Linked DNA regions of Oryctolagus cuniculus. The protein of the gene in region 1 interacts with the protein of each later gene in a biochemical or structural test. Links are inferred from orthologs where the notes say so. Each region holds a gene or a part of one and is shown in the gene's direction. Other genes may lie near its edges.

Evidence for each region.
Region 2: of the proteins of PTPRB (region 1) and MAPK3, one has a biochemical effect on the other in vitro, tested with the Homo sapiens proteins (2 studies listed by IntAct). The link is inferred for Oryctolagus cuniculus from reciprocal best matches to the Homo sapiens genes PTPRB and MAPK3.
Region 3: the proteins of PTPRB (region 1) and CNTN1 form a complex in vitro, tested with the Homo sapiens proteins (2 studies listed by BioGRID). The link is inferred for Oryctolagus cuniculus from reciprocal best matches to the Homo sapiens genes PTPRB and CNTN1.

Annotation. Positions count from the first base shown.
Region 1 is NC_091442.1:73,094,208-73,097,851, reverse strand, and holds part of PTPRB (receptor-type tyrosine-protein phosphatase beta), read left to right. Parts: intron 1-2,083; coding exon 2,084-2,353; intron 2,354-3,644. UniProt on the Homo sapiens protein: Plays an important role in blood vessel remodeling and angiogenesis. Not necessary for the initial formation of blood vessels, but is essential for their maintenance and remodeling. Can induce dephosphorylation of TEK/TIE2, CDH5/VE-cadherin and KDR/VEGFR-2.
Region 2 is NC_091450.1:7,469,130-7,472,661, reverse strand, and holds the end of MAPK3 (mitogen-activated protein kinase 3), read left to right. Parts: intron 1-126; coding exon 127-316; intron 317-414; coding exon 415-531; intron 532-772; coding exon 773-887; intron 888-1,245; coding exon 1,246-1,377; intron 1,378-1,555; coding exon 1,556-1,665; intron 1,666-1,799; coding exon 1,800-1,922; 3' UTR 1,923-1,952; intron 1,953-2,519; 3' UTR 2,520-3,026; downstream 3,027-3,532. Other genes in the region: lysophospholipase D GDPD3, read left to right, coding at 3,435-3,532.
Region 3 is NC_091440.1:132,215,789-132,220,145, forward strand, and holds the start of CNTN1 (contactin-1), read left to right. Parts: upstream 1-1,458; 5' UTR 1,459-1,957; intron 1,958-4,357. UniProt on the Homo sapiens protein: Contactins mediate cell surface interactions during nervous system development.

The DNA of each region.
Region 1 (3,644 bases):
GTGTTGAAACGTGAGAATTCAGTGATAAGATAGCCCCTGGCCTCAGGAATCATAGGATCTCGTGAAGGAGAAAAGATGTCAAATTACAACTACTGTACAACATGGCAAGGGCCAAAATAAAAGTCATTATGAGACGTTATGGCAGCAAACAAACAAGAGTCAGAAAGGCTTCCAGGAGGAAGTAAGGTTTAAACAGAGACTGAGACATCTTTGAGGTGAAATGTAAACTTTCTTGGTGCCAATAGGAAAAACAAAAGCCTGGAAGTGAAAAGCAGCAGGACGCATCTCATGACCTACATGCTACATACTATGCTAGCGTAGAGAACGCACACCCTGTGGCCAGCCAAGCAGATAGACTAAGTCATGCAGAGGCCCCACGTCTGGCAAGGTGTCTGAGAATTGCCGAGAGCCACTTAAGGGCCGCCGACATGGGAGTGCTGTGAGAATACATAGATACAGGGTGGAGTTTGACACATGGAGAGGAAAAGAAACCAGGGAGCTTGTCAAGAGACTGTGGCAATCATGGATACAAGAAATGATTTTGTCTTAAGTTGCGGCAGTGAAGAAGGAGAGAGTAGCTGAATTGAAGAGACAAGATATTTGTGTTTGGATATATATGTAAAAGGAGCAGAGTGGCAAACTACGTGTTTTTGTTTCTGTTTTTACCTGGACCAAAACTTAGGAACAACAGACAATGAGGAGATTCAGAAAGGGAGGTGAGTATTGGGTGACTGGAGAACATCCAGGGAGAATGTAATTTGCAAAGACAGGAGAATGCGCTGAGCTGCAAGTTTAAATTTAGGAGTTATCACTGTGTGGATGGCAATCCAAACCAGCAGAGGATATGAAATCTCCTAAGGAGATTATATAGAACAGATTAAGGAGATTGGGAGGAAACAAATCTCAGATCAGAAATATTTTATTAACAAATAATTCTACTTTGCCTTTTACATCAGGGGCCATATAGTACAAATACTTTTAGCCCACTCTATTTGGGGGATCCACATCCATGCATTCAACTACTCACAGCTTGAAAATATTCAGGGGAAAAAATTTGCATCTGTATTAAGCATGTACAGCTTTCTCTTCCTGTCACTATTTTCTTCTTTATAAAATAGATTTCAACAGTTTAAGATGTTATTTTTTATTGGAAAGGCAGCATTAGAGAAAGTGAAGGAAAGAGAGCAATCTTCCATTCACTGTTTCACTTCCCAAATGGTCCCAAAGGCCAGGGGTAGGCCAAGCTGAAGCCAGGAGCCCCAAGACTCATCTTGGTCTCCTCCATGGGTGCAGGGGCTCAAGGACTTAGGATACCCTCTGCTGCTTTCCCAGGCTCACTAGCAGGGAGCTGGATCAGAAGTAGAGCAGCCAGGTGCCAAACCAGTGCCCATGTGGGATGCCTGCATATGAGGCAGAAGCCCAACGTGCTATGCCACGATGCTGGCCCCTTGGCACTATTTTCTAAAGAATGTAGTGTAACAACTATTTACATGGTATTTATATTGTATTGGATATTGTAAGTAACCTAGTGATGATTTAAAGTATATGGGAGGATGGGCATAGTTTCTGCAAATACTACACCATGACTTGAGCATCCTGGGATTTTTTTTATGTCCAAGGGGGACCCAGAATTAGTGCCCCACAGATGCCAAGGGACAACTGTACCCTTATTATGAGAATATTACTGCTTATGTCAAGAATTAAAATTTTTACTGGAGTTGATGTTGGGAATAAAAATGAAAACAAAAGACATGCTCCAAGCATCTAAGCTACATTTGTTGTATGTAAATGTGTTCAATATTCATCCATTATAGACACTGTTCCATATTTATCAACATCTTTTACACTAACTTTTCCACCTGCTTGACTTTAAGATCCTGTCTAAATTCAGAGAGGAAATGGAAAATCAAACTAGCTATTCAGAGAATTCAAGCCAAGAAATACTTTCTCTTTATATGTCAGTGCCACACACATAAAGCAAAGGCATTGTCCGTGATCAGCAGTTGACTTGGGAACGTTCTACATCGGTTGCTTTGCCCTAAGTGACAGAATCTGAATTGTATGGCTTCTCTTGTTTCTGCAGTTCCAGCAACTGTCCAGAGAATCACCGCAACCAATGCATACAGCAGTGATTCCTTAATAATAAGTTGGCAAAAAGCTGTTGGTGTGGCAGAGAGATATGATATCCTGCTTCTGAATGAGAACGGAGCTCTTCTGAGCAACATGTCCGAGCCAGCCAGCGCCAAGCAGCACAAATTTGAAGATCTGACACCCGGCAAGAAATACAAGATACAGATCCTAACTGTGAGTGGAGGACTCTTTAGCAAGGAAGCCCAAACTGAAGGCCGAACAGGTAATTAACACAAATTGATGTTTTCTACTAAATATCTCTGTCTACTATTGTGTAAGAACTGTAGGGTAAGGGGCATGAACAATGTTGAGAGCTGTTATAAGCAACTCTCCATATAGAGAGAAGGTAGAACACTCTATGCCAACAGACTAGCCTGTACAAAGGCCATGAGGTGCGAGAAGAAACAACCAGAACTTGTGGGCAGCTGTAGTGTGTGCGACATGATGGAAAAGTGAGTCCAGCAAGTTGGACTGGGGCCGAGGGCCTTCCTCAGGAGTGTAATTTCCTTTTTTTTTTTTTTTTTTTAATACACATTGAGGAGGCTATAAAAATTTTTCAGCCACAGAGTAAACTTTTTTTAATAAAAACGTGTGCCTTCAAGAAGATAAAACACAGCAGTAGGCATTTGGCCTAACGATTAAGGTGCCAGCATCCCCTATCAGAGAGCCTGGATTTGAATCCCGGCTCTTCTCATTGATTCCAGCTTTCTGTTAGTGCACACCTTGGGAACTGGCAGTGATGGCTCAAGTAATTGGGTCTCTGCTACCCATGTGGAAGACGAGGGTTGAGTTCCCAGCACCTGGCTTCAGCCTGGCCCTGCTCTAGCCATTGCGGGCATTCAGGGAGTGAACCAGTAAGGGGGAATGCACTCCCACTCTCTCTCTGCTTCTCAAATCAGATGGCAGTGGATAACAGATTGAACAGAGAAAGAATCAGACTCAATCATTCATTACTGAATACCTACTATAATCTAGCCACTGTTCTAGAAGCCAGACTGACCAAAATGAATAAAACAAACTTCTGTGGTCATGAAGCTTAGCTACTAGTAGTGTAAAAAGGCAATAAACAAAATAAGTGAAAGATACAGCAGGTAGACAGTAACAAATACCAGGGTAAAAATTAAAGCAGGACAGCAAGTGTTGGGGACTTACCATTTAAGGTAGTACAGTCTTTAAGGAGCTCCTTGAAAAGGTGATAACTGAGTAAAATTCTGCAAGAAGTGATAGAGACAGTCATGCAAATACTTGGGGAAGAGTACCTGCAAGCAGACCAACTGCAAGGCAAAGACTCCAGGTGGGCTGTTGCTAGAGGAAGGGGCCAGAGGCCTGTGTGGCTGGGACAGAGAGAGCAAGGCGACAACAGTCAGAGGATGATAAGCGTCAAAAGCCGAACTACTGTGGGGCCCTAATGAAGAACAGTGTGTATATTCAAGAAATATTTCTGCATTAGATAAGGTGGCACTTGGAGGCTGAGCAGATGATCAATAGAGGTAAGGATTTCAGTTTCCATCCGG
Region 2 (3,532 bases), on another chromosome or scaffold:
CCCCAGGTGAGGGGACGTGCGGGGACGTGCAGCCGCATCACCAGAACCTGATTTCCTTAACTGCGTGCCTCCCCCTGCCCCCTGCCCCCTGCCTGGGGGAGGGGCGGGGTCTCGGGCCGTTCCCAGCTACATCGTGCAGGACCTCATGGAGACAGACCTGTACAAGTTGCTCAAAAGCCAGCAACTAAGCAACGACCACATCTGCTACTTCCTCTACCAGATCCTGCGGGGTCTCAAGTACATCCACTCGGCCAACGTGCTCCACCGGGACCTGAAGCCCTCCAACCTGCTCATCAACACCACCTGCGACCTTAAGGTCCGCGGCTGGCCGCGGCGAAGCTGTGGGAGGAGTGGGAGTGCTCGGGCCTGCAGGGGCCCCGAGCCCTGCGTTCAGCAGCCTGGGTTTCATTGCAGATCTGTGATTTCGGCCTGGCCCGCATTGCAGACCCTGAACATGACCACACCGGCTTCCTGACGGAGTACGTGGCCACGCGCTGGTACCGGGCCCCAGAGATCATGCTCAACTCCAAGGTAGGCAAGCCTGGCAGCCCGGAAGGGAAAGCCTCAGGCCCCCAGGGCGGCCCTGGAGCCACCCTCCCTGAGCGAGGCTCTGGAAGTCCACCCTCTGCAACGTGGCCTCTGGAAGGAAGCTGAGCACCGGCTCTCCAGGCCTCTGCCCCGGATCTCGGTTGGAAGCGGTGGCTTGGCCCAGGCCGCAGGGCCCTGCCGAGGCTGGCTCGGGAGTGCAGCACTGTTTTCCTGTCATCCCCAGGGCTATACTAAGTCCATCGACATCTGGTCTGTGGGCTGCATCCTGGCCGAGATGCTCTCCAACCGGCCCATCTTCCCTGGCAAGCACTACCTGGACCAGCTCAACCACATTCTAGGTGAGGGGGCCTGACCCACCCGGGGGAGGCTCAGGCTCAGGCTCAGGGTCAGGGTCAGAGTCAGAGTCAGGGGTACCACCACTTGTGGAACTTCTCCAGCATCTCCCAGCATCTCCGTGAGCAGAGACAACTATCCCCATTTGGTGGATGGGAAAAGCAAGGCCGAGAGCCGTCACACCTAAAGAAGTGCTAGGGCCAGGATTTGAACCCAGGCTGCCTGGGTCCAGACCCCTTGTCCTTCTCACTGTGAGGCAGGTGGCTGGGCTGGGGGTGCTTGTCTGGGCTTCTTTGCCTCTGTATCCCAGGACGGAGGAGGAAGGCGAGGTCTCACCAAGTCGCCTGCCTTCCTTCTGCCCAGGCATCCTGGGCTCGCCGTCCCAGGAGGACCTGAACTGCATCATCAACATGAAGGCCCGGAACTACCTGCAGTCCCTGCCTGCCAAGACCAAGGTGGCCTGGGCCAAGCTGTTTCCCAAGTCAGACTCCAAAGGTGAGTGAGACGCCACGCCCAGGGAGGATAAACCTTGAGTGGGGACGGGGGCTCACGATCCGGGCACCTGCCTGTGTGGACGGGGCCCTGGGTGCCGAAAAGCAAAGGGAGCCTCCCCTTCCGGGAGCCCCTCCCCCCTCCGCCTTCTCCGTGAGCCCTGACTCCCGCCCTCTGCCAGCCCTGGACCTGCTGGATCGGATGTTGACCTTCAACCCCAACAAGCGCATCACTGTGGAGGAGGCCCTGGCTCACCCCTACCTGGAACAGTACTATGACCCGACGGACGAGGTGCCGTGGCGGCGGCGGCAGCGGTGGTGGGGTGGTGGTGGGGGGCCGTCTGGGGGTGTGGGCGTCTCCGGGGCCTGGGGGCGTGGGCGTTTCCGGGGCCTGGCCCGAGAGCCCTCCTGTCTCTGCCTGTGTAGCCGGTGGCCGAGGAGCCCTTCACCTTCGACATGGAGTTGGATGATCTACCCAAGGAGCGGCTGAAGGAGCTCATCTTCCAGGAGACGGCCCGCTTCCAGCCGGGGGCTCCGGAGGGGCCCTAGCCTGCGCGGCAGCCCTGTCCCCGGGGCCTGGTGAGTGGCCCTCTCACCCCACACCGACTGCGAGCCAGCCCTGGCGTCCCTGATCCACCTGTACGGTGGTGACAAAAGGTGCCCAGACTCATGACCCACCCAGGCCCTTAAGTCCCCACCTGTCTACACTGCACCCACAGCGGCCCCTGGGGCCCCGTCCCCGCTGTGGGCAGCTGACCCACACTTCTGCTCGCCCACATGGACAGGTGGGGCCCCGCAGCAGGTGGCCCAAGCCAGGTGCCTCCTCACCACTCAGGGCAGCCGTTCCCACACCCGGGGGCCTCGGCGGGCCCACCCAGACCCACGCCGACCCACGCCGCAGAGCTGCCATTGTGCAAGCCGCCTCGCCCATGCACTTCCACTTCCTGGAGGCTGCTGTGCTCTCCAAGCCAGGGCCGATCCAGCCCTCCACGCCCTCCGCGGGTTCATTCACCTGTAGCTTCACCCTGGGAGAGGACCCTGTCCTCACTCCGCTGGTGGAGGGGCCAGGGAGACCCGACGTGGGCTGGGGGGCCGTGAGGCCCCGTGGGGTCTCACAGCTCCTCCCCCGTCTGCCTTTTCCCTTAGGGCCTGCCTGCTGCCTGCCCCTCTACGCTCGGACTGTTAGAAAACGGACACTGTGCCCGGCTGGGGCGGAGTGTGGGCCTGGCCCCATCTCGCTCCTGCTTCAGACAGGCCAAGAGCCCCCTCCCCCCTGCTCCTGCCAGGGCCTGAGGGCCTCGGGCGACCCCACAGTAGATCTCCCCCCAGCTCTGCCTCCATCTACCCTGGCTATCCCAGGCTGGTCCTTCTGGACCTCCGGAGGGGCGGGGCGGGGCGGGGACACTGAGCAGGGACTCAGGGCAAACCCTGCCCCCTCCCCCTTACCCCCCCCATCTCCCTGGGGGAACATTCCTGAGTCTCAAGGGCTAGTATCCCTGAGGAGAGGGCCCCCCACCCCGGCCTCAGCCCCTCCCCCCAAAGCTGCCACATTAACGTCCTCGCTGCTTCTGTGTGTGGGTGAGCGGGAGTGGGGGCGCCCCCGCCCGCCCCCGTGCCTGTATCTAATATATAAATATAGAGATGTGTATATGATGACCGTGACCGTGTTTCTGTTCGCCCCTGCCTTGGCCCAGCCAGGGCTGCTTGGGACCGACCCCCCTCCAGCCCAGCAGACTCCTGGCCCAGCCCTGGTGACCTTTGGCCCCAGGCTGGCCAGGGTTGAAAACTGGGGGGGGGGGGGGCAGTGTTCCAGACTGCTGGAAAGGGGAGAGTGTCAGTTTTCCCTTTAGTCACCAACCTCTTCCCTGTAATGACTTCCTGTGGAACTGGCTGGGGGTGACTCAGGGGTACGCTATACACCCCCAGCTTCTCTGGAAATGGCCAGGGAGCGAGCGTGTTATACACCTTGGCCACAAGCACCCATGGAGCCTGCGGGGAGGGGGCGTTACTCCTCCCAGGCAGCCCAGGACAGAGGGGTGTCGGGGTCCAGGGAGCGTCTGGATGTGTTCAGAGTCAGGGCTGCTGCCTGGCTGCCTCCTGTCTGTCCCCCAGCCCCAGCTGAGCCCTGCAGCCTGGCCCAGGGCCAGCAGCAGGCTCAG
Region 3 (4,357 bases), on another chromosome or scaffold:
AGCGTTACACACACTGTTATTGTTGCCTACCTTTGTTTTGGAAGGGACACATTTCTTTGTCTACTTTGATTTCCACAAGTGTGAAGTGGCCAGAATGGTGATTTTTCTGCTTACGTAAGAACATGGGGGCTTGTATCAGAAAGATTTGGAAAACGAAAGTGCTCTGTTGCAGGTATTTTGATTTATTTATATAAATATGAATGTAGGTATTCCAGGAACAGATGCACAACCTGGCATCCGAGATAATAACAAATAACAAAAGACCCAGAAACAGTCTGTTTTACCTAAAAATATGTGAAGTGCCTGATCAAGAGAGAAATTATCCTATTACTACTCCCAAGTTGTGTGTGTGCACACAGAGCGGCTAATTAGATCAATAAATACACAAAGTAATATAGTCTGCTTGAAAAACAAAGTTTGTGCTGCAGGAGAGCTTGCACATCTCATTTATCACTATACTTATCACAGTGACATTTGCTTTAGGAATGAGTAAGAATGAAAGGGGGCTGAAAAGGGGCTGGCATCATGGCCTGTCGGGTGAAGCCGCAGCCTGCCAGCCAGCGTCCCATATGGGGGTCCTTTGGGGTCCTGGCAGCTCCACTTTCGCTCCAGCTCCCTGCTCATGTGCCTGGGAAAGCAGCAGAAGATGGCCCAAGTCCTTGGGCCCTTGGATCAGCTCCTGGCTCCTGGCCCCAGCCTCCCCCAGCCCTGGCTGTTGTGGCCAATTGGGGAGTGAACCATCAGATGGAAGACCTCTCTCTCTCTGCCTCTCTTCTCTCTGTGTAACTCTGACATTCAAATAAATAAATAAATCTTTAAAAAAAGAAAAAATGCATCTTAAATAAAAGAATGCATGGACACAGCAGACTTCTTTAGTATCCTTTTCCAATTTCATTTCCTGTGGTCTCGATGCTGTTTTTTGATATGCTACCTCCTCTGCTTAAAGCTTAAGGTTGGGGTGCCAGATCTCCATGTGACTCAAAATAATGCATGTTTAGGACTGAAAGATGGTGCTGAAAAGCCACTTTCCCTACTGCTGTCTTAACTCGCAACTAGGCCCCCGAATCCCACGCTGGTGTCGGGCCGTAACCGCACAGGTGTAAGCATTTGGCGGGAACGTGACTCAGTGAGTGTCCCGCGGGTTCTCGCCGCACAGATCCACTCTGCATCACCTCCAGGCCCCCTCCCCATGTGCATGGAACGAGAAATGTGTCGTGCACCTGCTAGTTGTTTTTTTTTTTTTTTTTCCCATACCCTGCATCTCCTCGGCGTCTTTGAGCTCTCCCTGTGCTCTCAGAGGAGCGAGAGCTGCCCCAAGCCGGCCACACCTGTGCAGCCCTCACGCGTGCTCGCGCGCCCCGCGCGGCGGACTGCGGCGGGAGACCCCGCCTGCGGGCAGGAGGGAGGCGCACGCACCCGCGCACGGGCGGTCCCACCTGGCCGAGGCCCCGTCGCCCTGCGTCCCGCAGACGCGCGTGGGCTTATTCGAGAAATTTCGGTCCTCTGGCCGCGCCGCGACACGTGGGCCCGCACTTCCCCCCGCCTCCCCCGCCCGTAGCTTCGAGGACGCCCGGCTCCGCGGTCCTCTGGGGGCCTGGCCGGAGGCCTGACCCCTCCCTGGGACGCCGAGGCTGCAGCTTTGGCTTCCAAGCACCGCACCGACCCTTCCTGCGCCGCTGGGTGTAAGCCGCCACCCTGGTCCGCAGCAAACACGGCCCCGGCGCTGAGAGTGATACCACCGCCGTCCAATCAGAAAGGAGCGTTTCGCTCCCGGCCCCGCCCCGCGCTGCCCACGGGACCAATAGGCGTGCAGGGAGGCGGGGCTCGAGCTGTCAAGTGGCCCGGGTGGGCTCGGCCGCGCCAGGAGGGGCGCCGGTGCGGGGATGCGCGCCCAGGTGCTCACCGTCGCCGCCGACGGGGGAAAGCTGTAGGGTCGCGCCGGGCTGCGGTGGAGCAGGTAGGGGCCCGGCGTGTCCCTCGCGGCAGGTGGAACAGAGGCTGCGTGGTCCGCGGCACCCCCAAACCTGCGGTTTCGCAGCTCTGGTGGTGCGGGACGGAGGCCAGGCCGGGCTGCGGGGACGGGCGGCGGCGGCGGCAGCGGCAGCGGCGCCCCGGGGGACCACGGCCGCGGGGCGCCGGCGTGTGCGTGGGCCGGAGCGCGGGTCCGCAGCCGCCCGCAGCCTGCACAGCCCGGTCCGGCCGCGGCAGGGGGCGACGCGGCCTGTGAGCCCCCGGGGCGCGGGCACTGGCGGCCGGTCGGGCTTTTTCCCCGTGGACCGGGCTGGGCGGCGGCGGCCGCGCACGCCGGGAAGACCGCCTCACCTGTGTCTACACCCGGGGCTTCGTGCGGGATGCTGCGGGGCCTGCGCACGGCTGTCTGCAGCTGCTGCGCGTCCAGCCCCGCGGCCCCCGCGCGGTGGCTGAGCCAGCCCGACCTTGCGGGCAGCGCTCTGGGGAAGAGGCCTCGGGCGGACGCGTTTCCGTCACGCACGCAGCGGTCTGTGCGCGCCCGCGCGCTGGCCGGCGCCGTGGGGACCTGAGCAGCCCGGGGTGTGGGCTCCGCGCGGGGCCGCCTCCGTAGGCTCTGCGGGCCCGGCGGCTCGCCCGCACCTTCGTGGTTTCCTAGCGGGCGGATGGGGCGGCGCTGCGGGGCCTGGGGACGGATCTGCTTTCCGGGGTGCGGGTTCCCTCCCCCAAAGCCCACTGCAGCCACGGCGGCACCAGGCTGAAGCCAGGAGCCGGGCGCGCAGTCCTGGCCCGCGCTGGGGGAGGCGGGGACCCAGGTCTGAGCTCAAGGGCTGTCTGCACTGGCTGGGAGCTGGGGTCAGGAGTGCACCCTGGCCCCAGGCCTGTGGGTTCCCCAGGTGCTGCCTTCTCCCCTCTGCCCTCCTCCAGGGCGGTGATGAATTTCATTGTACCGATTTTGTTTCTGGGCTTGATATTTAAATGTGGGCTGCTGACTCACCTGTCTGTATCCTGTGGACTTCGTAGATGTTTCTGCATGGATTTTTCTCGTGATCCGGAGTTTTTATTGGTGTTGATAGCATCTCTATTTTTTTTTTTTTTTTAAGATTTATTTGATTGGCAGAGTGAGAGACAGAGAAAGAGCGATAAAAAGAGGTCTTCCATCTGGTTCACTCCCCAGGCGGCTGCAGTGGCTGGAACTGGACTGATCTGAAGCCAGGAGCCAGGAGCTTCTTCCTGGTCTCCCATGCTGGTGCAGGGGCCCAAGGACTTGGGGTTGTCTGGATGGGATGCAGGCACTGCAGGCAGAAGCTTAACCCACTGCACCTCTGCACTGGCCCCAACATTTCCTTAGAGGAGAAAAATAAGGTTTGGAGGACACACGTGATGTGCTTAAAGGCCTACCCTACGGTGTGTTCCTGCTGCGAGGCACTTGGCTTTCAAATGGGGTAATTGTTAGCTGGCCCAGTGTTCAGTCATGGTAACAGTGTGCAGTGTTGGTACCAGTAACAGTGTAAGTCACACTATTCAGTTACAGCTTTCCATGTGTAAAATTCAGTTCTAAGATGGTTAGATCACAATTTAACTTGTCAGGTTATCTGGAATATGAGTGGTTTAATCTGCCAAGCTAACCATCACAGGTATTGGGAGCTTGCTTTTAATTTTGAATCTTCAACTTGGTGATGATCTGATTTGGGGCAAGTTAATGAACCTGTTAGAGTTTCCTTTTTTTTTTTTTTTTTTTTTGACAGGCAGAGTGGACAGTGAGAGACAGACAGAGAGAAAGGTCTTCCTTTGCTGTTGGTTCACCCTCCAATGGCCGCCACGGCCGGCGCGCTGCGGCTGGCGCACCGCACTGATCCGATGGCAGGAGCCAGGTGCTTCTCCTGGTCTCCCATGGGGTGCAGGGCCCAAGGACGTGGGCCATCCTTCACTGCATTCCCTGACCACAGCAGAGAGCTGGCCTGGAAGAGGGGCAACCGGGACAGAATCCGGTGCCCCGATCGGGACGAGAATCCGGTGTGCCGGCACCACTAGGTGGAGGATTAGCCTATTGAGTCGCGGCGCTGGCCTTTTTTTTTTTTTTTTTTTTAAAGGCAGAGTGGACAGTGAGACAGAGAGAGAAAGATCTTCCTTTGCCATTGGTTCACCCTCCAATGGCTGGCGCACTGTGGCCGGCGCACCACGCTGATCCGATGGCAGGAGCCAGGTGCTTCTCCTGGTCTCCCATGGGGTGCAGGGCCTAAGCACTTGGGCCATCCTCCACTGCACTCCCTGGCCACAGCAGAGAGCTGGCCTGGAAGAGGGGCAACCCGGACAGAATCTGGTACCCTGACCAGGACTAGAACCCGGTGTGCCGGCGCTGCTAGGCGGAGGATTAGCCTAGTGAGCC